Linked DNA regions of Mus musculus: region 1 is reported to be linked to region 2. The links are microRNA targets in miRTarBase. Many come from high-throughput screens and were not tested one by one. Region 2 holds a microRNA gene; the other region holds the end of a gene's coding sequence.
The links. The annotated mature microRNA mmu-miR-1964-5p reads AGCUGGAGCACAAAAGCCGGUG and lies in region 2 at 8,334-8,355, opposite strand. An mRNA with a match to its seed (bases 2 to 7 or 8) in the 3' UTR can be bound and repressed. Matches are read on the target gene's strand: a 7mer-m8 pairs with bases 2 to 8, a 7mer-A1 pairs with bases 2 to 7 and ends in A, and an 8mer does both.

Region 1: the mRNA of Lrrc8e is a reported target of mmu-miR-1964-5p. Seed matches in the 3' UTR shown: 7mer-A1 at 8,210-8,216 and 7mer-A1 at 7,679-7,685.

What each region holds. Positions count from the first base shown.
Region 1 is chr8:4,229,683-4,244,459 of GRCm38, reverse strand. Lrrc8e (leucine rich repeat containing 8 family, member E) reads right to left here. Exons shown (of 3, transcript NM_028175.2): 2 at 12,656-12,798; 3 at 6,990-10,545. The coding sequence starts at 12,793. The coding sequence ends at 8,296. It overlaps Map2k7 (mitogen-activated protein kinase kinase 7), which reads right to left and starts at 5,720. Exons shown (of 12, transcript NM_001164172.1): 1 at 5,427-5,720; 2 at 3,725-3,772; 3 at 1,015-1,156; 4 at 841-907; 5 at 604-717; 6 at 390-509; 7 at 124-231; 8 at 1-33. The coding sequence starts at 5,550.
Region 2 is chr7:29,766,883-29,781,659 of GRCm38, reverse strand. It overlaps Mir1964 (microRNA 1964), which reads right to left and starts at 8,366; the gene lies at 8,284-8,366. Zfp84 (zinc finger protein 84) reads right to left here and starts at 13,108. Exons shown (of 5, transcript NM_023750.2): 1 at 12,965-13,108; 2 at 10,257-10,321; 3 at 6,196-6,322; 4 at 5,669-5,755; 5 at 241-5,528. The coding sequence starts at 10,289. The coding sequence ends at 4,096. Gm38983 (a long non-coding RNA gene) reads left to right here and starts at 13,407. Exons shown (of 2, transcript XR_881933.3): 1 at 13,407-14,606.

The sequences.
Region 1 (14,777 bases), not on the chromosome of region 2:
CTTCTCCTTCAGATAGTACAGTGCTTTCACAATCTGTAGGACATACACATTTGGGCACCTGTCATGGAAGACAGAATCCAGGGACACCCACCTAGCCATACAAGCCCAGATTTAGCTGCTCACCGCCACAGTCATCTTGCCCAGGATTCGCTCTGGAATGGGGCCCTGCATTCGTTTCTTCAGCTTCTCTGCACATGTGCCCATGAGCTCCATGGCAATAAAGACGTCTGTCTGTAGAAGGAGGGTGGTACCTGGGGCTTGGGACAGCCATGCTTTCTTCCCCACCCTAGCCACACTATGGTACTTGGAGACATGTAGGACCTTATAGGGGCAGAGGGTAACCTGAGACTTTCCCAGAAGGGGCTTGGTCCCTCAGGCAGGGTGCTCACGTTGGTGATGAAGGTGCCAAAGCACTGAACGATGTAAGGGCAGTCATGGCTCTTGAGTACTACATCCAGGTCCATCAAAATGCGCTTATTCTCTTCCTTGTTCCCAGAGCGCCGCATTTGCTGCAAGGAGGGACAGCCAAGGGGCGAGCTTCAAGTATTGAGCAGGCTGCAAGGTCACAAGGTGCATCCTGGCACTGGGGTGTGGAAGGCTTACCTTAACAGCAATGATGTGGCCTGTCTTCCGGAACCGCATCTTCCACACCTGACCACAGGTACCACTGCCCATCTCACCCAAGTTCTCCAAGTCATTGATTTCTGCCTGATAACGCTGGGAAAAGAGCAAGACAGCTGGAGGGTCCTCAGGGCCTCTGCTCTGTCACCCACCACCTCCAGGTTGCCCGGGTCCTGCCTGACACATCCCCCAGGGTGCCGAGCTATGGGGAGGTAGTACCTGGCCCCCGATAGTCAGGTACCCTGTCTGCTTCATGATCTCCTGCAGCTTCTGGTCAATCTCGATGCTGATAGGACAGAAAATGGAAGATGGTAAGGAGGGCCCCCACAAATGTCACCCGCCTCCCTCGGACCAGCAGGAGGGCCCAATGCTGGCCCTGCTCCACCAGCTTACCTCTCCATACTGCGCGGTGTGAACAAGGTTGATGGGAGCCCCAGCATGTGGCGGGGCCGGGTGGGGGGTGTAGGGTGCTGTGGGGAGCTCTCTGAGGATGGTGAGCGGCTGCCCCCATCGTTGGCCAGTGGGAGTTGCAGGGCTGGGGAATTAAAAACCAGGGGCATGAAAGGAGTTAGCATCTAGCTGGCCACCAAGGACTCGGCGTTCTCATCTTCCCCTTCCTGGTATCCCTTCGGCCAAGCTGGAACAGTCCCCTGCTCTGCTGGCTAGGGCCTTCTTCCCCACCCCCTGGGCATCTTCAGGGTCCTTCCTCCTGCCCCTCTGACCTGAAAGGAGATGGGGTGGCCTGGTGGGAGAGGGGTAGTCCCACAGGCTGAGGGCTTATCCTCAAGTACATACTGCAGAGAAGTGAGGGGTCTCTGCCAGGGAGCTTCCCTGGCAGAGCTCTCTGTTCCCTCTCAGTGCCAGGAAGCAGCCCAGGGCCGCAGTGCTCACATGGGGAATGTGTGAGGACAGAATGCCCATCAAGAACCTGGCCTGGCCACCAACACTACACTGTGGATGACAAGAGCCAAGAGCTATGGAACTCTGGTTTCAGGCTGTCTTGCCCTAGATTAGACTCCTAGGCCAGGGAGGGCCACCTTCTGTCCAGCTGTCTCATCTGTGCACCTCCCAGCCAGGCCTGCAGAGCTGGGGTCAAGGGATCGGGAACAGAACCCCAGGGTAAGCTTGATTTCTTGTGAAGAGAGATCGATGGTGATCTAATTGGCAAAGCTCTTCCAGGGGCTAGCTGGGCTGGCCAGGGGGGAAATGCTGGGCCAGGGAGGGGAGCTTGGTACTTCCCAATGGCCTGCATGCGGACAGCTCGGGCATGCTACAGGCAGATAGCAGGCAGGCAGCAGGCACCCCAGGACGGGCGGGTAGTGTTAGGGTGAGGGATGACAGGAGAAAGACAGACAGGAGGAGCCAAGACTTGGGACCCAGCTGCCCAGAGGAGGTGCTGCAGAGACAGCCAGAGAGGATATGAGACATTAAGAGGACATTCCTTGAAGAGCTAGGGGGTCTCTCTGGCCTAGAGGCAGGGGCCGTGAGCCCCCTTGTACATGGAAGCATCTGCTCTCCATGAACCTCTCATACTTCAAGGGTCCCAAGGCTCCCGGAGGCTAGCTCAGCTCAGGACAGCAACAAGCACCCTTCAAGCATCACTTCGCAGAAGGCCTGGAGCCTGCCACTTTCTAACACACCTCTCCACCCTTATCTTTACTACCGTCTCTTCCCACAGTCCCTCTAATGGCGTTTAGTAACTTGGGCCCAGCAATTAATGGTCAGAGACAAATGGGCTTTTACTGCAGATATCCAGGTCTTTTCTAGTTCTGGTAGTTGGGGCCCAACTGTATCCAGACTCACTAGGAACTGTCCACAGCTCACGTCCATGAGTACATGTGTGATCCTTCTTTGTCTGGCAACTCAGCTCTCTGGAGTGACCACACCTCTAACCTCTGTACTCCCTGCCAGTCCCCTGACCCACACAGACCATCAAGCCCTCTTGGGTTGCTCCAGATCCAGGGAAAAGGCTGCTGGCCCCACTCTCTGAAGCATGGATTTGGTGGAAAAGGGGGGAGAGAGAGAGACAGACAGACAGACAGACAAAAGCCCTGAGAACAGAAGTTAGAGGGGTTTAGAGCCACACGGCAGGCCTAGAAAGTAGATTAAGTATAAGTCAGTGAAGGAAAACAAAGTGAGAATGATTGAATGAATGAGAGAAAGCAAGACAGACCATGGAGACATGTACCCACTTATGGGATCCATATGTGTGCAGGCTACCAGCCCAACATACATACACTCATGTGCAAAAAGACAAACATGTACATACAGCACACATACACGCATCCATGTATACACACAAGCTGGGACACACTAGCACCAATAGTGAGCTCTTCTCATTTCTATCAACACAGGTGCTCTCTTACACACACAGGACATTACACACCTAGGAACTAGCACAGCTGATCTACCTAGCATTGGAGACCTTAGGTTGGAGGAAGGGGTGGAGGGGGGAGGTCTTGTTTCCCCTAACCTCTTGGTATACTTTTGTTCAAACCCTGTATCCTCCATAGGCTTTCCCTGAGAGACCCCTCTGCAGAGACCCTACTAGACTATTCTGCTGGATCAGACACATGCTTCGTGACCACTAATGGATCCCGTCCATCCTGCATCCTCAGCCCCACAGGATAGGAGCTTGATCTGTTTTACTTACTGCTAGGTTCCTGGTTCTGAAAGGAGACACAGTACACAAATAATGACACTCATTCACTTCATAGTTGAGACAGATTAAATAAGAGCAGTGCACCTATCTCTACCTACTTTATTTATACACACACACACATCATTGTGTGCCCACTTAGCAGACTCCTGCTCATTAAGGGAGCTCATTTCATCTTCTAGGATTCCAGATTGAGCCAGAGAAGAAATGAGAAGACTAATGGACACAGAGAAAGTATAGCCAGGCTCACATTTCTGTAGTTAAGGGAGAGTGAAAATGAAGACACAGAACTCTCTTTCCTTCTCTCTCTCCCTAAGTTATACACACACACAAATACACCCACACACCCACATACAGCATAGGGTAGGGATGGCATTCTGCAGCTGGGGCAGCGGTTAGGTCAATGTGCAGATATGCAAGCAGCAATGATAAAAAGGCTGGTACCTGCTCGCTGGGACGGGGCAGGAGCAGGGCTTAGAGTGATCACAATAACTGGATGGGGAAAGGAAGAAAAGAGAAAAAAAAAAACACCACAATAAATCACAACAGAAACAACCGATTTGTCCAACAGAAAAGAAATCAAATCATAATGAAGAGGAGGGGGAGGCACAAGGCACCAAACTGCAGAGATGGGTAGAAACCAACAGAGATGGGATGATGGCAGGAAGGTGTGGAGCTGACAGAGACAGACACCTGCAGGGGACTCCTTGGGGCCTGCCAGCCACTAGCCTTACCAGGTCTTACTCTGCTCTAGGGACAGGCAGCTCTTATGGCACCTAGAACCCTATTCCCAACCCTGTCTCATCCACAGGGCCGTGGAGGGATGGCCCTGGAATCCAGCAGGGGCCCAACCTCTGGTCCCAGGCAGAATCAGTGAAATGCATCCCCACCTCTGGGTATCTCCAGTTCCTGGAAGAAACTCCCAGGAAGGAAACGTGGAAGACTTTGTCCAGAAGGGGTAGGGATGGAGGGAATCCTGAATGCCTCTTCAGGAAGATGATCAAGCTGTGAAGGTCAGTCAGGCCAGGTGGCCAGGTAGTGAACAGAATTTTCACCTACAGGAGGCTGCCTTTCCCCTCTTACCATAGTGACCACACAGACAACTATAGTATGTATACTCCAAAGATTACATCACAGAGGATATAAAGAAGACATTCTGCTGAATCAAGAGGGACAGAGGAAGGGTTGGACAGAGAGGGGAGAAAAAAAGCCAGATTCTTTCAGCAAAGACAACTTGGGACAGGGGTATCTGGGATACAACAAGGATGCTAACTGTGGTCATGGTGGACAAGCTGGATGTGTGTCTAGAAAGGAAGAGGAAGCACTTTTGGTACAGGACCGTATGTCAGGAGGCAGGCCCAAAGACAGTAGGCTCAGAAAGGAGGTGCGTTTCTACTCGATGGGACTACACTGGTTACAGGTGTCTGTAGTAGTAGCAGTCACTTGAGCCCTGTAGACAAAGGCTGCCAGGCTGAGAGATGGCTATGTGTTTCCTGAGGGCTAGACAGCAATAGTGAAAAGTAGTTGGTCATTAGAGATATGAGGTGCCCCTGTATGTAGGAGGCAGTGAGCTGGGTCCAGTGACAAGGTCCTTCCAAGCTTAGAAGGAGCCATCTGATATGACCAAAGAAGTCAAATAGAAGCCTCCAATCAAAACGGATGTAGATGAGGACTTAGTGACCTACATGGGCAGATAGGCATGCACGTGTGTGGACTGTCTGCTAGGGGAGGGGACCTCTTGACAGTCACTGACTCGGCAGGAGTGGAACCACTGAATCAGAAGAGATATAACTGTTTGCAGAGTTAAAAGACTTGGTTGTAGTCACAGCGGCGTAGCTTCGAGTCTGAAAGCCTGCAAGGTGCAGGTGACAAGGCTCCGGAAGCCGACCACAGGGTGAGGGACTAAGCTCTCAGGTACCAACGGTGTGAACTTCGGGACCGCGGTACGTGGGCGGAGAGAGTCGCCCTGGAGACTGCCCACCCGACTTCCAGGTCACCGTGACCCTCTCCCTGCAAGCCGACAGCACAGAGAGTGGAGGGGAGGAGAGCTAGCGCCCCGGAAGCGGGGGCAGGATCTGCCCGGTGGGCGGGGCCTCCCAGTGCGCGCCCCGCCCCGCCCGCCCCTCCCCCACGAGGCCGTGCTTACTGGGCCTGGGCCGCTGTGGGCTGATATCCAAGTTGAGGTCGATCCTCCTGCGGGCCTCACGGTTCTCCTGCTTCAGCTTGGCTTCCAGGCGGGACAGCTTCTGCTCCAGGGAGGACGCCGCCATCTTCCCCGCCGCCGCTGCCGCCGCTCACCGCCAGGCCACCCGTCAGTCCGGGGTAGACAAACACCGCACTGCGCCTGCGCTCGGATGACCCCGCCGAGCCGCCGTCCTGCCTAGACCACCCCAGCGCGTGCCCGCCCTGCCTCGCGTGCATAACGCCGCGCGTGCGCACTGGGTTCCAGTAGGAAGCTGATGCCACCTAGAGCCCGAGGCGGGCCTCATGCATTGTCATGGCCTATCGCTGCCTTCCGCAGTGCGCATGCGTGAAGTTTCAGGCGATTAAGCGCTGTTGGAAATCACTTAAAAAAAAAAAAGAAAAAAAGAGAGAAAGCGAAGTCCGGTCAACCGCACGCCTGCGTGCAGAAGCGGGAGACCGGCCAAGCTCGCGCCTTTACTGCACACGCTTACGGCTGTTCCCAGATTATTCTTCACTTCGTGTGCATCTCTAGGGCGCTCTGGTGCCCGCGCCCTCACGGAACAACCTTCCTCGTCTAGGACGGTCTTTCATGAGGACCTGTTATGCTTAATTGCGGCCTGAACTCTCGCTGTTAGCATGGAGCCGCCTCCTCACCGTAATTAGGTGCCCATGGTAATCCCTTTCCATTTCAGCCAGTCCCAGCACAGTGAGAGTAGCCCTGACAAGTGGAGAGGGAATCCAGAGTTGGTGATTCCTGAGCTCGGTGTCAGAATCAAGGTTAAGGCCAGACTTTCTGCCCCATTCCTATCCTTTCGCCCGGAGAATCCGGACTTGAAACCAATGTTATCTGAAGACAGTCCCTGGGGTTAGATGCCTCTGCCCTGCTAGCCCCATCCCCACCCTGCATTAAGTTCTTCCAAGAGTGCTAGGATAAAGTTTGTGTGTAAATTCGGGTCGTTGAATGTGCAGGGACATTCAGCAAGAGACCAAACCCAGGAGGTCAGGCTGCGCACAACTCCGGAAGCAACAGTGAACACTTTGGGATGGGCCTTGGCCTTTAAAGGCTTCTTAGAACTCCTTTGGTAATGACCTATGGGTGGAGCAGAGAGAAGCTTAGAGTTAAAAGGATAAAAGAGGAGAGGAAAATTGGATTGGTTTTGTTTTGTTTTGTTTTGTTTTCGCAACAAGGTTTCACTGTGTAGTTCTAGCTGCCCTGTAACTCTGTAGACCCGGCTGGCCTGGAACTCAAGAAATCCACCTGCCTCTGCCTTCTGGAGTGTTGGGACTGAAGATAGGCATCACCACCATCCAACTGTTTTAGAGGGTGGGGTGAGGTAGATTCTTTAGGAAAAAAAAAAAAAAAAAACCTAGGCAGAAAACTACCCAATTTCTCTTGATTCTACTTCACCTCGTTGAAGTAACTTGGATATCCTTCCTCCCAGGACAGACAGCCTGATTTGATAGACAGGTGTCATCATTTGGCCCCAGTTATAGGCAGCTTAGACAATCATACTGTACAAGGAGGTGGAAATTACCGTTCTCGTTTATTAAGCACCCAGTGGTATATGCTCCCCTGCACAGGAAACATTCAAAAGAAAATCCCTGAATGAACTGGGAAAAAAGGTAGCCTTCACCAGCACTGGACTCAGGTGGGAATGTGTGACAGGAGACTCGGCTTACAGTTTCTTCTTTATGTTCCATGAGCATTGTCCTGAGAAAACACTGCTTAACTTGATGGGACTCCCTACGGCTCGAGAAAAGGGGCTCCATAGCTGACATGTCAGTATTCCATTCTTAGTTGTTTTGAGATGAGCTATGCTCCGTCTCCCAGGCTACCTCCAACCTTTCACGCCTCCTCCCTCCACCTCCAGAGTACTATACAGGCATCTCTACATTACATAGGTTCCACCACTCCTAGATTATGAAATGCTGAGGACGGGACCCAGGGCTGCCTGCATGTCAAGCAAGCACTCTCACAACTGAGCTTCAGTGCCAGCCCAGTCTTTATGTCAATATTTCCATTATGTGGTCTCAGGACCACCTGAATCAGAATTACCTGGCATTCTTACTTAGTAGCAGATTCCTGGCCCCACCCAATTTTTTTTTTTTTTTTTTTTGACAGGGTTTCTCTGTGTAGCCCTGGCTGTCCTGGAACTCACTTTGTAGACCAGGCTGGCCTCGAACTCAGAAATCCACCTGCCTCTGCCTCCTGAGTGCTGGAATTAAAGGCGTGTGCCACCATGCTCAGCTACCCATCCAAATTCTGAGTCAGTATAATTTCAGGGGTGGGGTGGGAAGCATGTAAGGGTTTTGTTTTCTTCCGGGCCTCTCAGCTGATTTTATTACATAGCTAAATGTGAGAGCCATTGTTCTAAGTACCCATCCCTGTCACAAAGGGCTTATAAAATCAGGACTTGCATGAAAGTTGGGATATGGAACTTTGGAACTGGACCCTGTATCCTCTCCTTAGGAGAGAACCCTAAGTATATGCTGATCCTTGTTGGGAAAGGTTGGAAATCCCACTCCCATATAGGAAACTAATTAAGCCAGAATGTTCAGAGGAAGGGCAAGCCAGCCAGCCAAAGACACAGGTGTGGTTTTGGTTGAAGAACCTAAGACTGGTTAATCCTTCCCTAAGGGGTTACACCTCAAATCTACCGCCTCCTGTTTCTCCTCCAGAAAAACCAGTCCCAGGATCTTGTCTGAGCTGCACAAAACCGACATGTCCTGCCTTCCTTCCACTCCTGCTGGACCTCTCTCCCTTGGAATACAATGTTGGGCAGAAACATGTAAAGGCCTCTGTGTCAGCCTGCCCCTTCCCCCACCAGGCTTCATTCCTCCTCCATCTTTTCCCGAACTTCTGCAGGCAGTCCCTCATAAAGGGTGTCCTCCACCAGCAGCCCCGACTTCTTCAGCCCCTTGCAGTCACCAAGTTCTTCTGGCAGTGTCTCCAACCTGTTACCCTTGAGCTCCAGACGGCTGAGGGCCTGGAGGGCAGCCACGTCAGGTGAGAGCTGAGTTAGGTGGTTGTAGCCCAAGAGTAACGTCCGCAGCTTGTGGCAGAAGAACAATTCATCGGGCAGACTCTCGAGTGCGTTGTAGGAGAGGGCTAGATGCTGGAGGCTCTGGAGAAGGCCCAACTCAGGTGGCAGGGAACGAAGCCCGTTGTGGGATAAATCCAGCAGGCGGAGGCCAAAGCACTGGCCCAGCTGGGTGGGCAGAGTCTCCAGCTTGTTGTGACTGAGGTAGAGCTGCTCCAGGCTCCGGAGCTTTCTCACATGCTCGGGCACATAGGCAATCTGGTTGTGCCACAGCCTGAGAGTGACCAGCTTCCGACAGTGCTGGAAGCTGAGGATCTCCTCGATAGACCGAAGGTGGTTGTCCTTAAGGTCAAGTTCCTGCAGAGCCCCCAGGCTGAAGATTGCATGGGGGATACGTTCCAGCCCACAGGCCACCAGCTCCAGCTCCCGTAACACTGCCAGCTTCTTGAGGCTGTTTAGGGCAAGCAAACGAGCCCCATCATTGTGCAGGCTGAGTCGCTGAAGGTGCCCGGCCACATCAGTCACACTGGCTGGCACCTTCCCTGCATTGCTACGTAGAGACAGTACCTTGAGCTGTTTAAGCTCCCGGAGGCTCTCCAGGGTGGCACCCCGAGCCATTTCTGGGGGAAAGAGTCCTTCCAGGTGCAGTTCTTCTAAGCCTCGAAGCCCAAACACCCAGAGGGGTACCTCTCGGAGCTCCTCGAATTTAACACAGATCACCTTCAGGCGATCTCGCAGGAAGATCTGTGATGAAAAGGGCAGCCTGGCTGGTGAGTGAAGCAAGCTGAGCTCCTGAAGGTTCACAAGCTGGGAGAGCCCAGGGGGAAAGGAGATGTCACAGATGGCCTCCAGCCTGAGTGCCTCCACCTCGCTGAGCTCAAAGACGGTGTCAGGTAGTCCAGGGAGCATGCAGAGGCTCAGCTCCAGCCGGCCACGCATGTTACGCTGCAGCTTCTGCCTCAGCTTCTCAGGTGTCCACTCATGGTTGAGGTTGAGTTGCTTAAGGCGGCTCTCACTGACTTCAGAGAGGAAGACTGCAAAGCGTTTGGAATAGAGGGAGTCGTACTGGTCAATGAGGTGGAGCATGAAGGCAAAGTCATTCTTAACATCCGGGATATCGTTCATCCCTGTCTCCTCACGCACAGAACGGAAGGAGTACTCTTTTAGGGGCCTATGGAAGAGCCAGTAGAGTGTATACAGGCAGGTGATGCCATAGACACACACAAAGGAAATATAGCAGAAGGCCAGCTTAGAAAAGAGGTGGGCCTTGGTGTGGTTGCAGCAGAAACTGGCATACCCCGTGATCTCTGATGTCTCCACCCTACAGGCCACCAGAAAGCTGATCTTCTCCACATAGATCAGGTTGTAAACCAGGATGGCAAAAAACTTACACACTTTGAGCACTGTCTGCCGGATGTACATGGAATAGAGGATGTCACCCTCTTCCACGTGCACTCGGAACTTTTTGACCTTCTCGAATAGGGCCTTCGCTTGCTCGCCCTCCTTCTTATCCAGCAGAGTAACAACTGGAGGCTCAGACACCACCTTTTCGGGCTCAATGAGCACTTTCTCCTTCTCACCTTCACCCACCTTCCCCGACCCTGCCCCTGTGGTGGTTACCGTGGTCACCATGGCCCGTCCAGAAGCTGGGCCCTTGTGATTTTCTCCAGACACCTCGGACAAGGCCCGAGTGGTCCATGGAGAATCAAAGCACTTGCCCAGGATGGAGATGAAGTGTTCTATTTTGGAGCTGGTACCAGGGAATTTGAACCAAAAGCTGGTACAGACCATAAAGATGAGAGTATGGATAACCACCAAGTAGGGGAAGTATTTGGCATACCAGTGGAGGGCAGTCTCATAGCAGAGCTGGTTGATAAAGCTATACTGCTGGAGGTCTAGGTTGTTTTTGAGGCCACTGAGCTCTCGGAGACCCCCCATCTGCTCAGAGATTCCTTGAGGCAAAAGCTGCTGGCATGGAGCCCCCGATATGTTCTCACGAGATTCGTGGCTAGGCAAGCAGATGATCTTGTCCTGTGTCACCTGGGGATAGGGAGAGAGTGAAAGACAGTGAGGGGACTAGGGAACTGTACGGGAGAGAAGCAGGATGAGGTGGGAGACCCTGATCCTAGACAGTTGTAAGCTGTTTGAGTGTGGAAGAGCTGTTAAACTATAGCATCAATCTTAATCTGAAAAGAAGTTCTAGGGGAGCTGAGCATGTGTGGTGGTGCACGTGGCGCACGCCGTTAATCCCAGTACTTGGGAGGCAGGGCCAGGTGGGTTTCTGAGTTCAAGTCCAGCTTGGTCTACAGAGTGAGTTCTAGGACAGCCAGGGCTACACAGAGAAACCCTGTCTCAAGAAACAACAACAATAACAACAACAAAAACCACCAAATAAACAAATTAAAAAAATTAAGTTATATCTATAACAAAATTCTATAAGAAAAAAAGTTTAGCCTGGTGATGCTAGCCTATAGTCCTAGTTACTTAGGAGCCTGAGGCAGGAGAATCAGCCTCTGCCTGGGCTACAAAGTAGGTATAAGTTCAGCCTAGACAACTTCAATAGACACTAGTGAAAGGGAGGGAATGGACAGGATTTAGCTCAGAGGTAGAGCCCCTGCCTAGAATCCCCCAGAGGGGCTAGGGTGTTGCTCAGTGGTAGAGCCCCTACCTAGAATCCCCCCGTGAGGGGCTAGCAGTTTGGCCCTGCAGTAGAATCCTGTTTAACACTGGAAGCCACAAAAAAGGAAAAAGTAAATGTGTATGGAAACACTCTAATATTATTTTAGACTTTGACCACTGCTTGTGGGGATGGAGGAGAGAAGGTAGGGGACTAGACTTGGTCTGTGTGGAGGCTTTGGCACTGCCTTCCTCTTGTCTGTTTCTCTTATTTTATTGATGATTTTTATTGAACCTGGGACCTCATGTAAGCTGGACAAGTACTCTAATACTGATACTTTTTCTTCTTTCCTATGTTATTTATTTTATTTTAGAGATGGTCTCACTGTATAGGCCAATTGACCTGGAACCCAGGATCCTGATTCATTTTCTCTATATCCTGGGAACGCAGGTGTGCACTGCCACACCTGGCCTTAATTTTAACTTTGAGTCTTGCTAAGATGCCTAGGCTTCAGATTTGTGATCCTCAGGCCTCTGTCTACAGAGCACTCACCACCATGCCCAGGCTCTTTCTCCCTCTTCTTAGGAGACTTGGGAGGCTTCAGGACTTCAAGCAAAAGGCCTACTCCTTTAGAGATCTGCTCTTTTACCTAGAGAGCCCAGCTGAACACATTTCCCTGTCTCATCATCATGGAGGGGTCTTACCCATATGCATAGCACAGTTGAAGACCCCCCTACCCCAGGCATGAGCATTGTCATGTTAAGACCACGTCCCTTTATGGTCCTGCCCTTCACCTGGAACGCAGCCATGGTGAGGCCCAGTTCCTTCATGACTGAAGGGGCTAGAGATTGGTTAAGAATACTTGTTGCTTTTGCAGAGGACCCAGGTTTGGTTCTGAGCACCCACATGGTGGTTTACAAGCATCTATAGTTCCAGGAAAGCTAACCTTTCTTTCTGACCTCCACAGGTGCCAAGCATACATGTACCTTGCATGTACACATACATACATGCAGGTCAACACTCATACACATAAAAGAAAAAGTTTGTGTGGGTTTTTTTTTTTTTTTTTTTTTGATTTTTCGAGACAGGGTTTCTCTGTGTAGCTCTGGCTGTCCTGGAACTCACTCTGTAGATCAGGCTGGCCTCGAACTCAGAAATCCACCTGCCTCTGCCTCCCAAGTGCTGGGATTAAAGGCGTGTGCCACCACGCCCGGCCAAAATGTGTGTTTTTAAAAAGACACTCATGAGGAGAGTTGCCAAGATGTGTCACACCTTCACATCCCCAGCCTCACCCCTAACCTGGAAAGAGCAGCTCAAGGCCCCAGTCATTAGCATGGTCAGGAATATGGCCACAATGAGAGCCAGATCCCGTGTACCCCCTCCCCTGTCTGCTCTTTCACCTACAGAGTTTATTGCCATAACATGGCCCTGCCTTGCCACATCCCACTCATTGTCAAGAAGGTGTGTCCTAAAACTCTAGTCATAGGAACTGCCAATGTGTGTGGCCCTGCCCGGGTTTGTTTTGTTCCTCACCTGGAGGGTGCACCCGAATACCCCGATCATGAGCATAGCCACGGTGAGGTACTCAGCCAGAACATCCCACCAGGGTTTGAGCACCTTGAATGCAGGCTGCTGCTCTGTGAACTGCTTGAACTCCGCCACTGGGATCATCCTGCCTATGGGAGTCAGAAGACAAGAGGGGTTGAGACACCAAACAGTGAGAGCAAGGGTGTGCCTGGTGGAAACCCCGAGAGGCCAGACATAGCTCAGAAGCCTACGCACTCTCAGCCTGGCCAGAACTTTCTAGAATCTATGCATCGTTGTATGTTCCCTTCCCCTCTTAGCCGGGGTCTTGTTGCTTCCTTCGGAACTCACCTCTTTCCCAGTCTCACAGCGTTTCCCCTCCTCCAAAGCACAGGTTTATCTTTCACTGCCTGCCCTCTTCAGAACTCTGTGAGAGTAAAAAAACTACAGGGCAGCTGTCCTCCAGTCTCCTCCTTTGGCTGCCCACCTCTGAAGGAGGAAGCCTGTGACATTCGTTCTGGTACTCCTTTATTCTAGCTGGGTTCTCACCTCCACCTTGCCACCAGGGTATCCCCAGGCTCAAGACTTCCGGGGTGTGCCCCCCTACAGGGGTGCTCTGGGCACCACCTCCATTCTCTAACCGGAAAAGCCGGCTAGGGAGAAGCAAGCTGGAGCGTGGCTGTGCTCTAGTTAAGGGCCTCAGGGGTTAGGGAGTGGCCAGGCTGAAGGCTACTGAGCCCTGGAGGCATGTGCCAAGACACCTGACTGTTCAGATAGGGACTAGAGCCTAGAATCTGAAGTGGAAATAAGAAATCTGCCCCCCACCCCCACCCCCGGGGAAGAGTTTTGGCATGTGTGGAAGCATGAGAATCACTAAACTGGAAAACTCTCAGGGTGACACCTATGACTGGAGCCTGGCACAGGGCTGCCAGCCCACTCTGTCTATCTCTGGTTTCCTTTTCTACTAAGGTATCATTATCACAAAGGCCAGACCCAAGTCACACGGGGGTGTAGAATGTGAGCTAAGACAGGACTCCCAGGAAGTCAGCTACTTGCTTAGGGCAGAGAAGGAAGCAAAGAGTGAAGGTCTCTTGGACAGCCCACCCCTGTCAGCATCCAAGCTTTGTGCGCGCACACACACACCAAGGTGTGGATATGGAAGAGTAGGGGGTTCTGTAGAAAAGGGAGCAGGCATTACGTCTTCCTATATAGAAAATATGACACTGAGGTCCCAAGTTCATCCTGAACCAGGTACATGTAAGGAGACGACCAGAGAACAAGGTCCTTTACATATGCTCACCAAACACTCTCTTAAAAGTCTCAGGCTGTGGAGTAGCTCAATTGGTAGGGCACTTTTCTGGCATGTACAATTCTCTGAATCCAGTCTCTAGCACCACATAACTAGGCATACTGACACATGCCTGCAAATCTTAGCACTTGGGGATTTCAGGTAGGAGGATCAGAGTTCAAAGTTATCCTCAGCTACATAGGAGACTCAAAGCCAGCCTGGGTTACATGAAACCACATTTCAAAAAGAAATTTTGTTGCCCTCCTTAAAGAGGGGCTGTAGCTTAGTACTAAGTGTTTGCAAGAGTGTCTCCAGAACTGGAGGGGAAAAAATCCCAATCTTCATAATCTGACAGAAATAACGAGGGGAGAGAGATGACTCAAGGGATGCTACACATGTAAAATCAAGGACCAGTTCCCTGTCTCCACCTTCCACGACCCACGTCACAGTGTCACAGTTCCCAACTCTGCCAGGCTACCCTCACAAGTCACAGGCCAGGAGACAGGAGCCCTCTGCTCAGCTCCCAGGAACAAGACACGATGTAGACACACAATCAGAGGGAAGCACAGGGGATTATCATTGTCTGGCCCCGTGACTCAAACAAGATCTTGCAGAACCTGCCATTAAATTCCAGCAGGCAGATGGAAGGCTGGCCCCCTTCCCTGTGTCTGGACAGAGATAGTGGAAAGGTCACAGAACTGGGGGAAGTGTAGAGAAAAATCACAATGGATTTTATATGAAAGAATTTCTCTTGTTGTTCTTCATGCTGATTTTTGTTTTTTTATTTTTAAGGTTTTTTTTATTTTTTTTTTTAATTTTTTTTTTATTTTTTTTTTTTTTTTT
Region 2 (14,777 bases):
GTGAAGGCCAGCCTAGGCTAAATAGCAAGACTTATCTCAAAATGAAAACGAATTTTAAAGGGGAGGGGATACATCCAAAAATATAGGAACCCAGCTTATGAGTTTGTGATTGAAATGATAGGATCAAGTGTTCAGACAACCAAGCTGTCAGCCGTGAAGGTAGCCGCCTAACTCGACATAGCCCAAACTGCTCCAAGTCCTGTATTGGCATTTTAAATCATAAACCATGAGAGGAAAGCATGGGATTTTGGAAAATATATTGGAATGGGGGAAAATGATTTACAAGCATTAACACCAAGACAGATACCTTCCAATCATGAATTGCTTAAGTCTACAAATCCAAACCAGGCATAAAAAAGAGAAAACTGGTATAAACACAGTTCGAGAGGATTATAAGTCTTACATAGCCATCAGGAAAGCAATCATTCAACAGAAAATGGTACTGAGACACTCCACAGAAAATGTAATATTTGAAAATAGGAAAATATGGCATTAGATGCAAGTTACATACAGCAGGAAAAATGCAAATTAAACTGTCATAACACTTTTTACCTAACAGACTAGCGAAATCAAAGCTTTAACAAACAAAAAAGTGTCAGAAAAATGATTGGATAGGGGCACTATGTAACATTGGAGAAAGAACCAAAAGCTAGTAACATTGGCCTTTTGTAAATGTACATATACTAGAAAGTAGCAACTCCAACCCAGGGATGAACCTTTAATAGATATCTGCAGATAGAAGCTAATATGTACAAAGATCATCACCTCGTTCTCTATCGCAAGGGAGAAAAGGGTCTACATACCTCAGAAAGCGTTCGATTCAACTAACTGTGGTTAAGGCCAAAAACCCCACTAGACAGACAAGAACTATGAATGAGGGCATTAGTCTTTATTTTCTAACATGTTCCACTTCCTACACGTAGAAGTGCTAAAGGGCTCATTCTTCAATAATGTGTAGGATTCAGTTTCAGTGTTGAGAAGGAGTCTCATTATGTAGCCCAGGCTGCTCAGGGCCTACACTCCTGAGTGCTGGAATGCAGGCCTTAGGAACTATGCCTTGTGATCCCCACAGCCTCCACTTTTATTCCCCCCCCCCCCCCCAGACAGGGTCTCACTATGTAGACCAGACTGGCCTGGAACTCAGAAATCATCTAGCCTCTGCTAGGATTAAAGATGTGAGAGACATCACTACCCACGTCAGTAATTCCTTCTTAACAGCGAAAGATTATCCCAGAATATGTCAACTGTTTAAAAACTTGTATCAACTTTTGCTTCCCACTAAATTCCTAACGTGTTACATTTGCTTCCACCTTTTAAAATGCTCTATCATCTTGAGACAATGAATTCCTCACGGGACCTGTTTCCTGGAAACCCTGTCCGCTACACACGACTGCATACCACAAACTACCACTTCCTCCTCAGCTCCATTAAGTTTTCTTTAACTAATGGTTGTTTCAAGGATATTTAAGATATTTCAAAATATATGGAGCGACATCTCTAGGCCTAGGTAAGAATGCATTAGATAAATTAGAACTGACTGATACTGATTCAGACTTGAAGTTTAAGACACAGGAAATAAATTCTTATATAAAAGAGTATTCTGTAAGTTTGCGAGAGGCCATGTGTGTGTTAGACTTTTCAATGGTCTTTGTTCAAATGTGCTGTCCTGATTTTGCCTGACAGCCATGTTAAAGTCCAAGCTGGCTTTTTTCTTTGTAGTTCTGATTAACTTTTGCTTTTTCTTTATGGAGCCCATGCTGCTGGTTACATACAAATAAAAGCATCCTGACCCTTTTAACGAATCTTCACACATTATGTTCTTTTTTCCCTAATTTTTTGGTAAACCAGTTTTTTGTTGTTTCTTCTTGAACTCCTTTGGTTAGTATCTCAACAGCACGGGCTTCCCCCGTCCCTCAGTTTTGATCTTTCTGCAGCATTGTCTGTCTTCCCTTTCCCACTTTTAAGCTGGGGCTGTCCTATGGACCTCAGGCTAATCTGAAGCCACAGCAATATCGTTCCTTGCCAGGGATAATTTCAGATATGACCCACACCAACCTAGTATTCCATTTAAATGAGAAAAAAAGCTTCCTTTCGGGGGGGGGGGGGCTGGAGAGATGGTTCAGCGGTTAAGAGCACTGACTGCTCTTCAGGAGGTCCTGAGTTCACATCCCAGAAACCACATGGTGGCTCACAAACATCTGTAATGAAATCGGATGCCTTCTTCTGGTGTGTCTGAAGACAGCTACAGTGTGCTTACATATAATAAATAAACCTTTGAAGAAAAAAAATCTGTTTAAAAAATTAAAAAACACTTCCTTTCAACTACAGCAATCAGCCTATTCAAAAGGTTATTGGAGTTACTGATACAATTTATGTTGACCATTCTACCACACAATTTCCCACTGGCAAATTCCATGTTCACTGCCTTTGCTTGCTGCCTGATTTTGAAATCTGGAGAATACCTTATTTTATAGCAGTCAAACTTTCTGTCTGTACCTGGTAACAGAGGTCTATAGCCCCAGCTATTTGAGAGGCTTAATGTAAGGGCACCAAAGCCTGCCTAGGCCATTTAGCCAAGACCCTGCCTGCCTCAGAACAAAGAGAGCCGGGAATAAAAGGCTCTAGGGCAGAGCCAAGCTGAGCAGGCTCAAGGCTCCAAGTTCAAGCCAGTGTGGTAGCTCACACTTCTAATCCCAGCACTCAGTAGGTTCAAGCAGGAGGATTGCCACAAGTTTAAGAAAGACCATGTCTTAAAATAAAACCCACCAAAGCCAACCGAACAAACATACTTCTGCCTGGGAATGCTCTACTTCCCATTAGCTCTGACGGTTGTGCTTGTGTCTTTCAAATGTCCCTCTAGGCCCCCGAAAACCTAGTCTATGTATCAGATTTGGAAAAAGCTCCTAAAGTCCGGTTATCCATTTTATTGATGGTTTTTAGAAACTTCTTTAAATTCATTGATTATTGTATATAATGTGTAATTCTGCTGTCAACTCTAAGATTTATTGCTCTTTGGGGGGGGGGGGGAAGGTGTGTAATTTGACAACATCTATTCAAATGAACCACGCCAGGCTTTAGTGTGTAGAGCTGTTGTTCTTCCACACTGAAGCAAGCTGTATTTTCAGACTGCACTTTTCACATGACTGAGAGTCACCTGGTGACGGTGACAGATTATGAGTTTGTTCCAATTCTTGTCCTGCACAGATCCGACTGTCCTCTGCTGTGCCGGGCACCCTGAGCAGTGAGTCCATGTGGCCTTGCTAGGGTCGGCTTTCAGACTCAACTCAAGTCGAAGTGGAAATCTGCTCGTGTTCCGTTCCAATCACTGTCACGCCGGAACTCCTTTTGAAGGCTTTGGCATGGGACAAGCACTGACAGGCGATGTCATGAATAAAGTGGGTATGAATGTTCCAAAAATAGTAACAAAGAACATCATAAGAGGACGGTTCCGAATCCTTCCTGATCCTGTCTAGCAGCTATGCCAAAGACCCCATTTACTGATTCATCCCGTCCCCAAAATAACCATCCTCCCAGCTAAAAGGCAGCAATCTGAAGCAGGGCTGAAGTCAACTTAATAAAACACAGTCAGCAATCGATGCATGTGAAACCCCTACACTAACAGCATGCACACCATTGTTCTCTATGTGGTACTGTCTATAACTATACTTAAATAGAACCCTTCTACTGGTAATAGAATTAGTATTTCTATTCATAATTTAATTTTTATTTTTCCTATGTGAATTAATACTCAATAAACAGTAGGTTATAAAGCAAAAAAACAAAAAACAAAAAAGAAGAAAGCAAAAAAAAAAAATAGAATAGTCATCAGATGGTTCTCTCTGACAAACTCTATTCCATAACGAATAGCCGAAAATAAGGAGAGCTTCCTATTTTGAGCATAGTATAAATTGCACAACGTGAAGCACAGTCTGAGAGGTTGTTTCACACCCTTCCCTTCCAGAAGGCTTTTCCAGCAGTCTGCATAGCTGAGGGACACATAAAGGTGTTTCCCGCATTTCCGAGTCATTAATGTTTATCTTCTGTGTGGTTGTGAAGATGCTGAGTCAGGGATTTTCAGTAAATAGAGGGCAGTGTTCAGATACACAGGATTTCCCCCACCGTGTGGACTCTCTGGTGTTTCTTCACCTGTAAGAGCCGAGTGAAGGCCTGCCCGCACTCCTTACACTCGTAGGGCTTCTCGCCAGTGTGGATCCTCTGATGCTGCGTCAGGTGGGACCTCTGCCTGAAGGCCTTGCTACACTGCTGGCACTGGAAGGGCTTCTCGCCAGTGTGGATCCTCTGGTGCAGAATGAGAGTTTTACAATCAATGAAAGCCTTCCCACACTCTTTACACTCATAAGGCCTCTCTCCAGTGTGAATCCTCTGGTGTCTGTTAAAGTAGGAAGGACACGCGAAGGCCTTCCCACACTCCTTACATTCGTAAGGTTTTTCGCCAGTGTGGACTCGCTGATGCTGGATGAGATGGGCTTTCTGCCGGAAGGCCTTCATACACTCCTGGCACTCGTAGGGCTTCTCGTTTGTGTGAGTTCTATAGTGTTTCATGAAGGCCGAATGGCAGAGAAAGGCCTTTTCGCAGTAGTTACACTCGTAAGGTTTTTCGCCGGTGTGAATCTTTTGGTGATCATTCAGGTTGGAAGCCCAAGTGAAGGTCTTTCCGCATAAGTTACACTCGTAGGGTTTCTCGCCGCTGTGGATCCTTTGATGTCTAGTGAGGTTGGCACTCTTGTTAAAGGCCTTCTGACATTTGTGGCATTCGTATGGCTTCTCGTTGGTGTGGGTTCTCTGATGCTGAAAAAACGTGGAGAAGTAGAGGAAGGCCTTCCCACAGTGCTTGCACTCGTAGGGCTTCTCGTCCGTGTGGACCCTCTGGTGCTGGACGAGCAGCGAGCAGTTGGTGAAGGCTTTCCCGCACTCCTTACATTCGCAGGGTTTCTCCCCCGTGTGAAAGCGGTTATGCTGAACAAGGTAAGCGTGCTTCTCAAAGATCTTGCCACAGATCTCGCACTGGTAGGGCTTCTTGTTGATCTGATACGGGGCGAGCTGAAAGTCATAGGCGAATCCTCTGCTGCACGCCTTTAGCTCATCACATCTGTCCCCAGCAAAGTCCTGCTGACGCTTCATCTCACCTGTGTAATAGATAAAGGCATTCTCGTACATTTCATTAAGTTTGTCACTGGTAGGAATTCGCACCTGTTGAGTGATGGTTTCGCCTGCGTCCTGCTCAGAGAGTTTCGTTTCGGAATGCGTCACTTCACTCAGAGCAATGGGTGCAGGCTGAACGAATCTGGCTGACGTCTCTTCCAACGGGTCTGTCACTCCCTGTAAATATTCCTCTGTAGATTCCCGTTTTGTCTCAAGGAGTCCCTTGCATTTCCAATCATCTCCAAAACAAGATTCCTCAAGGCAAGAACTACCAACTCTTTCTATTATTTTCCATTTTAACGATTCCTTTCCAAAGATGCCATTCTTTAGAGACAAACTCTTAGCTTCATTTACAGACAGCAGATCTGAAAGAAAGTAAGTTCATCAGCGCGAGCAGACACGGGGCACCAGACAAACAGAACCATGTGCTTCCTCACTATTTAACACGCATCAGTGTTTCGCCTACGTATTTATCTGCGCACCATGTGCAGTCGTCTTTCCTCACCTGGGCACCATCCTGCTTGCTCCACTATCCAGGGCTCTTTGCCTTGCTCCAGCAGTGAAATTATTGATGGCTTAGAAATGGCAAGTCCTACTCAAAGAAAGAGAAAAAGAGAACGGTAAAGACAAATACAGAGACAAGCCTCAACAGCAAAAGGCATTCATCACAGAACTAACAACCTGAAACAAACTGCAGATCCTCAGAGTGACTGTGATGCAAACAAACAAACTAACTAACTAACTAACTAACTAACAAACAAACAAACAGCGAGCAAGCCACCACTTAGCAAGCACCTTAGGAAATAACTGTTGCTTGCAGGAATCACTGAAAATTAAAAGAAGCAGGAAAGTATCTTGAGAAAGTATGTGCCAGAGTGTAGCAAAGGATTCAATGGCAGCTGTTTACCAGCTGTGAAGCCATGACTGTGGGGATGGAAAAGGCTCAATAGTTTGAGGCTGCATGTGGTAGACTTATCTCCCTCCCACAGGCCTTCATCCCTAGCCCTTACAGAGAGGTACAGATGAACTTACCCAGCGACACAAAGTTGCTGTAGTTCTCCAGCATCACATCTCTGTATAGCGACCTCTGCTCAGGGCCCAGACACTCCCACTCCTCCTTACAGAACTCCACAGCCACGTCCCTGAACACCACCAACTCCTGAAATGAACGCATGAGGTAACACACACAGCAGGGAAGACTTCAGGGAAACATTAAAGCTCTTTCTTCAAGGGGTGCCAGGGCAAGGCATATCCCCTTTCCAGCACAGGGAAACTGAACATTTCAAGGAAGTGGCCTTTGGCCCCTGAGAAATCACTTCTGAGCCCTTGATTTCCAGCCTGATGAGGTGGGTTTATCTGGTTGTTTGTTTGTTTGTTTGTTTTTTAACTGTATGCCTGAGACCTTGACCTGTTCCAGCTTGACTTCTAGGAGGCCAAAGAGTCAGTAATGTAAATGAGATGTAGCCATAGCAGGTTCTCCCAACAAAAACTCCAGCAGAAAAGGCATTTGCCAATTGTCCCTTGTTGGCCACACTCCCAACATGCTGTCTCACATCAAGCCTGTGTCTAGGCTCCCACAAGGATGACACAAATGCTACTTTGTCCTTGGCAAATTTCTCTTTCCTAATTTGCCTTTTTTTGGGAGTAAATTCACAAGCTGGAGGATAACTGCTTCTCTCCATCCTGCAAATTCAACCACAGACTCGCTCCAGTCTAGCCAGCCAAGTGGCTCATTCTCGTGACTCTAGCTAGCACTGGGGGGCACAGCCAGAAATTCAGGGCTAGCCCGGGGTCTTAATTAGGGTTCATATTACTGTAGTGTAATTTATCTTGCGCACTTGGCCCTTTAAAGGATCTCCAGTTGCTAGTCAACTGGCCCTTTAAGAATTTTTTGTTGTTAAAACTGCTTGACTTCATGACCTTCAGGGTTGGTTGCCTCTCAGATTTCTGGGAACAGGATAGGTTATACAAAAAGCCAGCTGAGGCAGAGAAAAAAGGAATGGGGCTAGCAGAGTGAGGAGACAATTGGTGGAGAAGATGTTCAGAGACTGAGCTGAGCAGATAGGCTAGAACAGTTGTTATAGTTTGGAGATGCTTGTATTGAGAGAACAGGCAGAAGAGACTGTTGAAGCACACAGTTGGGGAACTGAGGGAGGAATGGCTGGGAGAAACATCTGAAGAGGCTGGGCTGGAAACTGGGAGGAGGGCTGACAGGGAGTTGAGAGATTTGGTTACTGTTCTAAATACCTAGCCATTTTACATATTACTGTGATGGAACATCAAAACCAAAGCCCCTTGGGAAAGAGGGTGTGTACTCCCGGTGCTTCCAGGTATCTGTGCATCACTGAGGGAAGCCGGGGCAGGAGCTGATACAGACGCCATGGAGGTGCGATGCTTAGTGGCTTGCTTCCCATGGCCTGCTCAGACTCCTTTCTTGTAGAACGCAGGACCACCAGCCCAGAGATGGCCTTGCCCACAGTGGGCTGGGCCTTCCCCCATTGATCACTAATTTAAAAAATGCCCTGCTGGCTTGTCTACATTCTAACCTTATGGAGGCATTTTCTCAACTGAGGCCCCCTTCTTACTGACGAGTCTACCTTGTGCCAGATTGGCATAAATACTAACCAGGACGCCTGGGCTACACAACGACACTCAGTCTCAAGTAAGAAAAACAAGAACAAACTCAAACCCACAGATGGGGCATTGCAGGCGAGGGTAGAAGGCATCCAGCACTGCACTGGGGCCCTTCGAGAGGCTCAGAGCTAGAGAATGTAATTGTCTTGGTGTAAATGCTGCAGCTGCCCGGAAGGATGAAGCCATTTGCTGCTGAGGCCACCTGTTTTCCGAACTTGACACGCTCAAGTGGAAGCACTTTGGTTATGATTAAAATAGTAATAGGGAGACATAAAATAGCAAGGGGCATACTCCTGGGGAGAAGGGACACAGAGGCATTTAGAAAATAAAAAAAGCACTGCCTGTAGGAGAACTAAAAGCAAGACGGACAGTTGACTCCCTGCTCCCTTTGGCATCTGTCCCCTCCTCCCTGTGGTACTAGCATACCTCTGCAAGTAGGTGTGAGGATTAGTCAAGGCAATACCAGCAATGCCAGCCGAGGCTACCTCCTTCCTTCCAAAGCCGGAGCCCAGAAGTCGGTGTAGGCATCACACCGGCACCGGCTTTTGTGCTCCAGCTTCGCAAGAAAGGTTAAGATGTTTGTGTTAGTTGCTTTGATGTAGAAAATTTTGGGCAAGAATTTAAAGTTCAGAAAGGTTCATTTTTGAAAGTTGAGTAAGCCTGGTTATTACTAGCTGAGGTGCCTTTCTTGATCAAGCTGGGTGGGTGATTAAGGGTAATGGTTAATTTCTTGTAGCCATTTATGCCCTCGGCTTTCTGATCCTATGATTTAGTAAAAAAATTTAATGTGTAGGGTGCACCCTGAGGGCTTAGAAAAAAGTTAAAGGAAAATGATTGTTTTTTTATATAAAAGTTTAGATTTATGATTAAGATTTTATATAAGATTACTTTTTGTGATAAACAATTAAATGATGGATCCAAAGATAAATGATAAAAATGATCGAGCCTTTCTTTGCAACCACAAAATGCAGCTTGCCGGTAAGAGAACTGGCTGAGAACACCTTGCTTACACGTTGTTAATCTATAACAAGTTACTTAGACATGAGTGTATGTGGGTCCTTGCAGATCAATTGGTTTTCACCTGTACTATGTAAAATGTTTATTCGTGTAAAAAGTGCTGAGAAACAGACTGGCTTTTTACTTGTACTCACTGTAATCATTCACTTGAAGAAAAATAGAATGTAGCCACATTGCAACTTATACATTGCCTGAAAGTCTTTGCTGGGGGATATAAGCTTAAAAGAAAAACTACTGAGGTCTACCCCGCCAGCAGAGCTGCAGCCATTTTGCTCCTGCCAGCTATTTCACATTGCTGCTGTAAAACATGCCTGCCTGTCACTGACACAGAAAAATAACTTGACTCAGAGCAGGGTCATGCTGACCATATACCCTGTTATGTTCTGTAGGTTATGAGGTTTGTTAATCTTAGGAAATTTCACAACTATAGGCTTCACTTGGGACCCATCAACTTAAAGGTCAATTTGAACTGCTATGCATAAACTGGCCTCAGTCAGGGCCGACCATCAGGTGGCACTTCCAGCACCTACTTATGAGCTCATTGTGGTTTTTGTGGCTTTAGCCTTTATAAGCTGATACAGAAGAATGTTTGGGGTCATAGCCTCAGCCCCCCGAATTCTGAGCAATGGCCTTGATTGGTCAGTCTTAGGGTGTGCGCTCAAAAAACTATCCCTGTCTGACTGAGATCAGTGTTTTTGCAGTTTGTGGGGTGACTCCTGGACCCCACTAAAAACAAAGAGAACCTGTCTGAATTATCAAAAGATTCCCATGTCCATGTGTCCTGTCACTTCACCCCTCCTCTTCAGCCCCTGCTGTGTTGAACGAAGCTGGCCCTCAACATGTTACACACATCAATTTAGTTAAAACTAATCTAAAGTAAATGCTATTACTTCTTCTACTTTCAGATCATGAAAGTAAGGAATAGGAAAATGAAGTAAACTCATGAACACTTAGGAACTGGGGTTCCTTACATGGCCTGGAAGATGCTTGAATTAAAAAAAAAAAAGAAAAACAGTGGCTGGAAAGAGATGGCTTAGTGGTTAAGAGCACTGGCTGTTCTTTCAAAGGACGGGGGTTCAATTCCCAGCACCAACATGGCAGCTTACAACTGTCTCTAACTCCAGATCTAGGGGATTTGACACCCTCATACCAATGCACATAAAGTAAGATTTAAAATTATTAAAAAGAAGAAGGAGAAGGAGAAAAAGAAGAAGAAGGAGGAGGAGGAGGAGGAAAGAGAGGAAGAGAGAAAGAAAAAAAAAAAGAAGAGAAGAGAAAAGAAGAGAAAAGAACAGAACAACCAGACAGTCCCTTATAGTTCACCGGAGAAAGAATTATGCTGGCAAAGCTCAGACCTTCCATGGTTACCATGACAATGGGGGTGCAAGTCCATTTCAGGAATTAGCAACCAGAAGAGAGCTGGCAGGAGAAATTCACCTCACCTTAAACACGGTGCTGACGTCCACAACGGCCATGCTTCTCAGCTCTTCCGGGCACTCTGGACAAACTGCAGAATGGAAGAAGGAAGGTGGAATTGGGAGAAACATCCCATGACCCATTTTCCCAGGCCCTCAGGCTGCATATACAGATGAGTGTGAGCTGCATTTCCTATTCATGTGGCAAGGAAGTCTGTAGGAGTTCAAGGCCAGCACGGTATCCACATAAAGAGTTCTGGGCTAGCCAGGGCTGCTACATAGACTAACACACACATACACACACACACACACACACACACACACACACCAATAATGACAACTGAAATGCTCCTGAGAGACACTCACAGGGATCATGGCAGACCCTCATTCCTTCAGTTTGTAAGGCCTGCGACCCACCCAGGAAGTTTCCTTCCTACCTTATTAAATAGGGTGAGGAATAAACCTTCCTCATATCCCCTTATCTCAAGGATAGAAGCCATTCATCTGTAAGCATACATGGCAAAACCTTCTTATAAACATAAAGAGATTTTTCTTTTTCAAAGATGGTGTTTTACTAAGTACACCAGGCTAGTCTCCAATGCAAAGGCCCACTTGCCTCTGCCTCCCAAGTCCTGGAATTTGAAATGTGTATTATACACCTGGCTACTTTCTTTTCTGTTTTCTTTTCTTTTCCTTTCTCCTTCCTTCCCTCCCTCCTTTCCTTCCTTCCTTCCTTCCTTCCTTCCTTCCTTCCTTCCTTTCTTCTTTTGGGATAGGGTCTCACCCTGTAGCTCTGGCTGTCCTGAAACTCGATATGTAGGCCAGGTTATCCTCAAACTCACAGAGATCTGCCTGCCTCTGTGTGCTGAGTGCTAGGATTAAAGGTGTGCGCCACCATGACCAGCCTTTAATTTTAAAAAACGCTATGTCCACAATTGATGGCCTAGGTCTCTTCGAGAACCCGGTAAAATGCCTGCTGTTTTTTCTTTTTTTCTGCAGGCAGCCTGAGCTTCTCCAAACTTTTGTCTGAGAGTTTATGCTCAGAATTGTTTTTGAAAAAGCTTTACTTATTTTATGCTTATGGGTGTTTCACCTGCACGTGTGTCTGTGTACCACGTGCATGCCTGGTGCCCTGAGGGGTCACAAAGAGGGGACTGTATCTGCTGGAACTGGAGCTATGGACAGCTATGAGTGTGGGTACTAGGGACTGAACCCAGACTCTCTGAAGAGTAGCCACGGCTCTTAACCACCGAGCCATCTATCTAGACACTAGACAGATGAATAAAATGAAATTCTGTCCAAAGTTCAAAGCCGTGCCTCTAGGCTACTCACTCTTCGGTGTTACCATGAACAGGTTCAATCATCTTCAAAACCTCCACATGCACCTCACCCCAGGACTAACCAATTCTATCTCACCCCACACTCCCTTTTACTAGGACAGTAGGAAGAGTTCCTCATGTCATGAAGAAAGGCGTTTCTGTGGATTCCTCCATACCAAGCCAAAAAAAAAAAAAGGAACTTGATCTCTCTGGAAACCGTAAACAAAAAAACAAAGTACATTTCAGGAACTTCAAATAATTTCTGCAGGAACTGGCCAGGTGCAGTATTAAAGTCCATTAGCCCACTTAAGCTGCTATAACAAAATACCAGAGACTAGCTTATAAATAACAAACTTATTTCTCTGTTGTGGTGGCACTGACAAATTAGGTGTCTAGTGAAAACCGATTTCCCCGGTCCCCAGATGGAGTCTCTGGACTGCACTCTCACCTAGAGAAGGCAGGTAGCTCCAGGGAGCCAGGGCACTACTCCCATTTAATTACCTTCAAAAAGCCCCCACCTTCTAAACCCACCACACCGAGGACTAGTTTTGTAACTATAAACTGGACAGGGTGAAGATGGGGTACAACGGAGACTCCGTGTGCTCACTATGTCTGCTTCTTGACAGAAAAGCCTAGAGCTGAGGAAGTTGTCTTTTTAGAACCTGAAGTGGATCACCCAGAATCATGAACTTCAAATTCTGACTTCTCTAGTGGTAGTCAACAGAGGCTAAGATTTTCTAAGAGTTCCCTAAACAAGGCTAAATGGCTACTCGGAGGGTGTGACACAAAAGTAGGAACCCACAGTAATTACGTTTTTTCAAATACAATTTCTATACACTCATCCGTTTCTGAGACAGGATTTCACTATGTGGGTCCCGGTAGCCTGGAACTCACTATGTTCCCACGGCTGTCCTCAAAGTCACTGACTTCCAGCTTCCGCAGCTCGAGTGCTGAAATTATAGATGTGGGTCACCATATCTAACTCCTAACTACAGTTAAAAGTCATGCTGATTGGTAAACTGATCTATCTTGAACACAGAAATCCTTACCGTCTCTACTATTTAGCTTTCTCCCCCCTCCCCCCAAATTTTCAAATAAACTTGACATAAATGGTGTCCCGCACCTCCCGCCCCCGACTTTGCGTTGCAAGACTAGAGGATCTGGTAACCACCTACTACCCACGTTCTGCTGACTTCGCGCACTCTCTCTCTCTCACCCTCCTGTACAATCCACATCCTCCAAAAACCTTTTCGCCCATGCAGTCACACTCCCGCCGCCTTAGTCCCTCTTTAAGCCTCTAGCGCCATCCCGGAAACCGGGTGGGTCCCCTAGAGCCGGCCTGCAGCCAGCGACCAACAAATACAGGCCTTAAGGACTGTATTTACACAAAGCACTTAAAACCAAGGGCAGACTCACTTCAAAAGTATAAACTGCGATCTCACGGCTTCGAACTCGGACGACCAGCGAATACCGACCAGGACAGTACCGGGTTAGGTCGGGTAGGGCACTGAGATGATCCGGAACAACCTCTTTCCAGCCACTTCCGCCATGTGGCTGAGCATTTATAGTGGACTACATTTCCCAGAAGGCGGTGCTACTTCTAGAGTCTGCAGGAGAGTTTCAGTGTGCGAGAGAGGAAGTAGAGATCTGTTGAAACTAGAGAACGGACGATTAGTTTTCTAAAGGGGGAATTTCCCAAGGATCCAAGGCTTGAAGTCTCTGAAACTTAAGCAGTTTCGGCTCTGTGGTGGGGGTGGATCTTTACTCCAGCTACAGAAGCGAGGCAAGAACCCGAGCAAGTGATCCAGCTCAGGACTACATTTCCCAGAAGACATCACAGACCGCGTTCTCGGTAAAGAACTCATCCTGCTATTGACAGTCGGATATATGAGGGCTCTTAAGAGCTTCTCCAGTGTGGTGTTCCAAGCTCCCTGAAGGAATGAGACAAGGCTGTTAGGACTGGGAACGACTGGATAGGGCAAAGATCGCCCTATCTTTACTGGAATATTTAGTCTACTTACCACTCGATAGCCACAAATTTAAATGTGCTGCATTAGCCTGGGTTGAGCATTGCATGTTTGTAATCCCAGCACTCAGGAGGCAGAAGCAGGAGAATCAAGAGTTTTAATGCCCGCCTCGGTTACATAACAAGTTTGAAGCCATGGTTACCTAACGACCTGTGTCCATAAAGGAAAATAAACAGAGAGATGGTTCAGTTCTTAAGAGCATCGTCTGTTCTGTTCCAAGCACTTATGTTGGGCCAATCATGAACATTTATGTTGGATCAAATTTTATGGAATTCCATATGTATGTATGTATATGTATATATATATATATATATATATATATTCTCACTCATATAATGAGAATTCAATGTCGATCATACTGGCTTCAAACTCTGGCCCATGTCTCTGCCTTCTGTTTGCTATGATTAAAAGTATGCATCACTGTGCCTCAAGTCTTGGTGGATTTTGTTATTGTTGGTTGATTTTGTTGTTGTGGAAGCAGAGTTTTATTAGGAAGACTGTCTCCGGGGGGAAGAGAGAGAGAGAGAGAGAGAGAGAGAGAGAGAGAGAGAGAGAGAGAGAGAGAGAGAGAGAGAGAGAGAGAGAGAAGAGAATATCTCGCTCACAAGATCTAGGTTTACCGGCAGCCTGAAACCCAGATTCCGCTTTTTGGATTTCTAGGTTCCTGGTCTTTCCGGGACCTCCTGGGACCCTTTCTAGACAGAATTCCCAGAGGAATTCTCCGTGAATCGGCTTAGAGCAGATGTTGTGGCAGGGGTTACACGAAGGAGGATTTGGTGCCCTGGCTTGTTTTTCCCACAAGGCACTGCGGCTTGGACTCCTCGGTTTGAACTACATTTCCCAGAAAACAACGGGTGCAAGCAATTTACAGTTCAGCCCCAGTCCCCAAACACCCCGCAGGGTTCTCAGTGCTCGGCAAAATGAATTCAACCTAAATCCAAGGGCGGTGACAGGAGGAGGGCTCTAAACAAATGTTTCAAATTTGGAGTTCCTGATTTGGACATGGAGAAGCCGCCAGTTGTTACTGGAATGTAGGCCTGTGGGTTAGTGAAGAGCACAGGAGCACTTTGTGTGTCTGTGTGAAGGAATGTGCGGGAGCGCGTGCATGTGTGAAAGGAGGAGAAGGGGTTGGAAGAGAAAGACAGAGGAAAGAGGCAGAGACAACGGGTGGTGGGTAAGATGGGAAGGGCTGGGATGTTTCT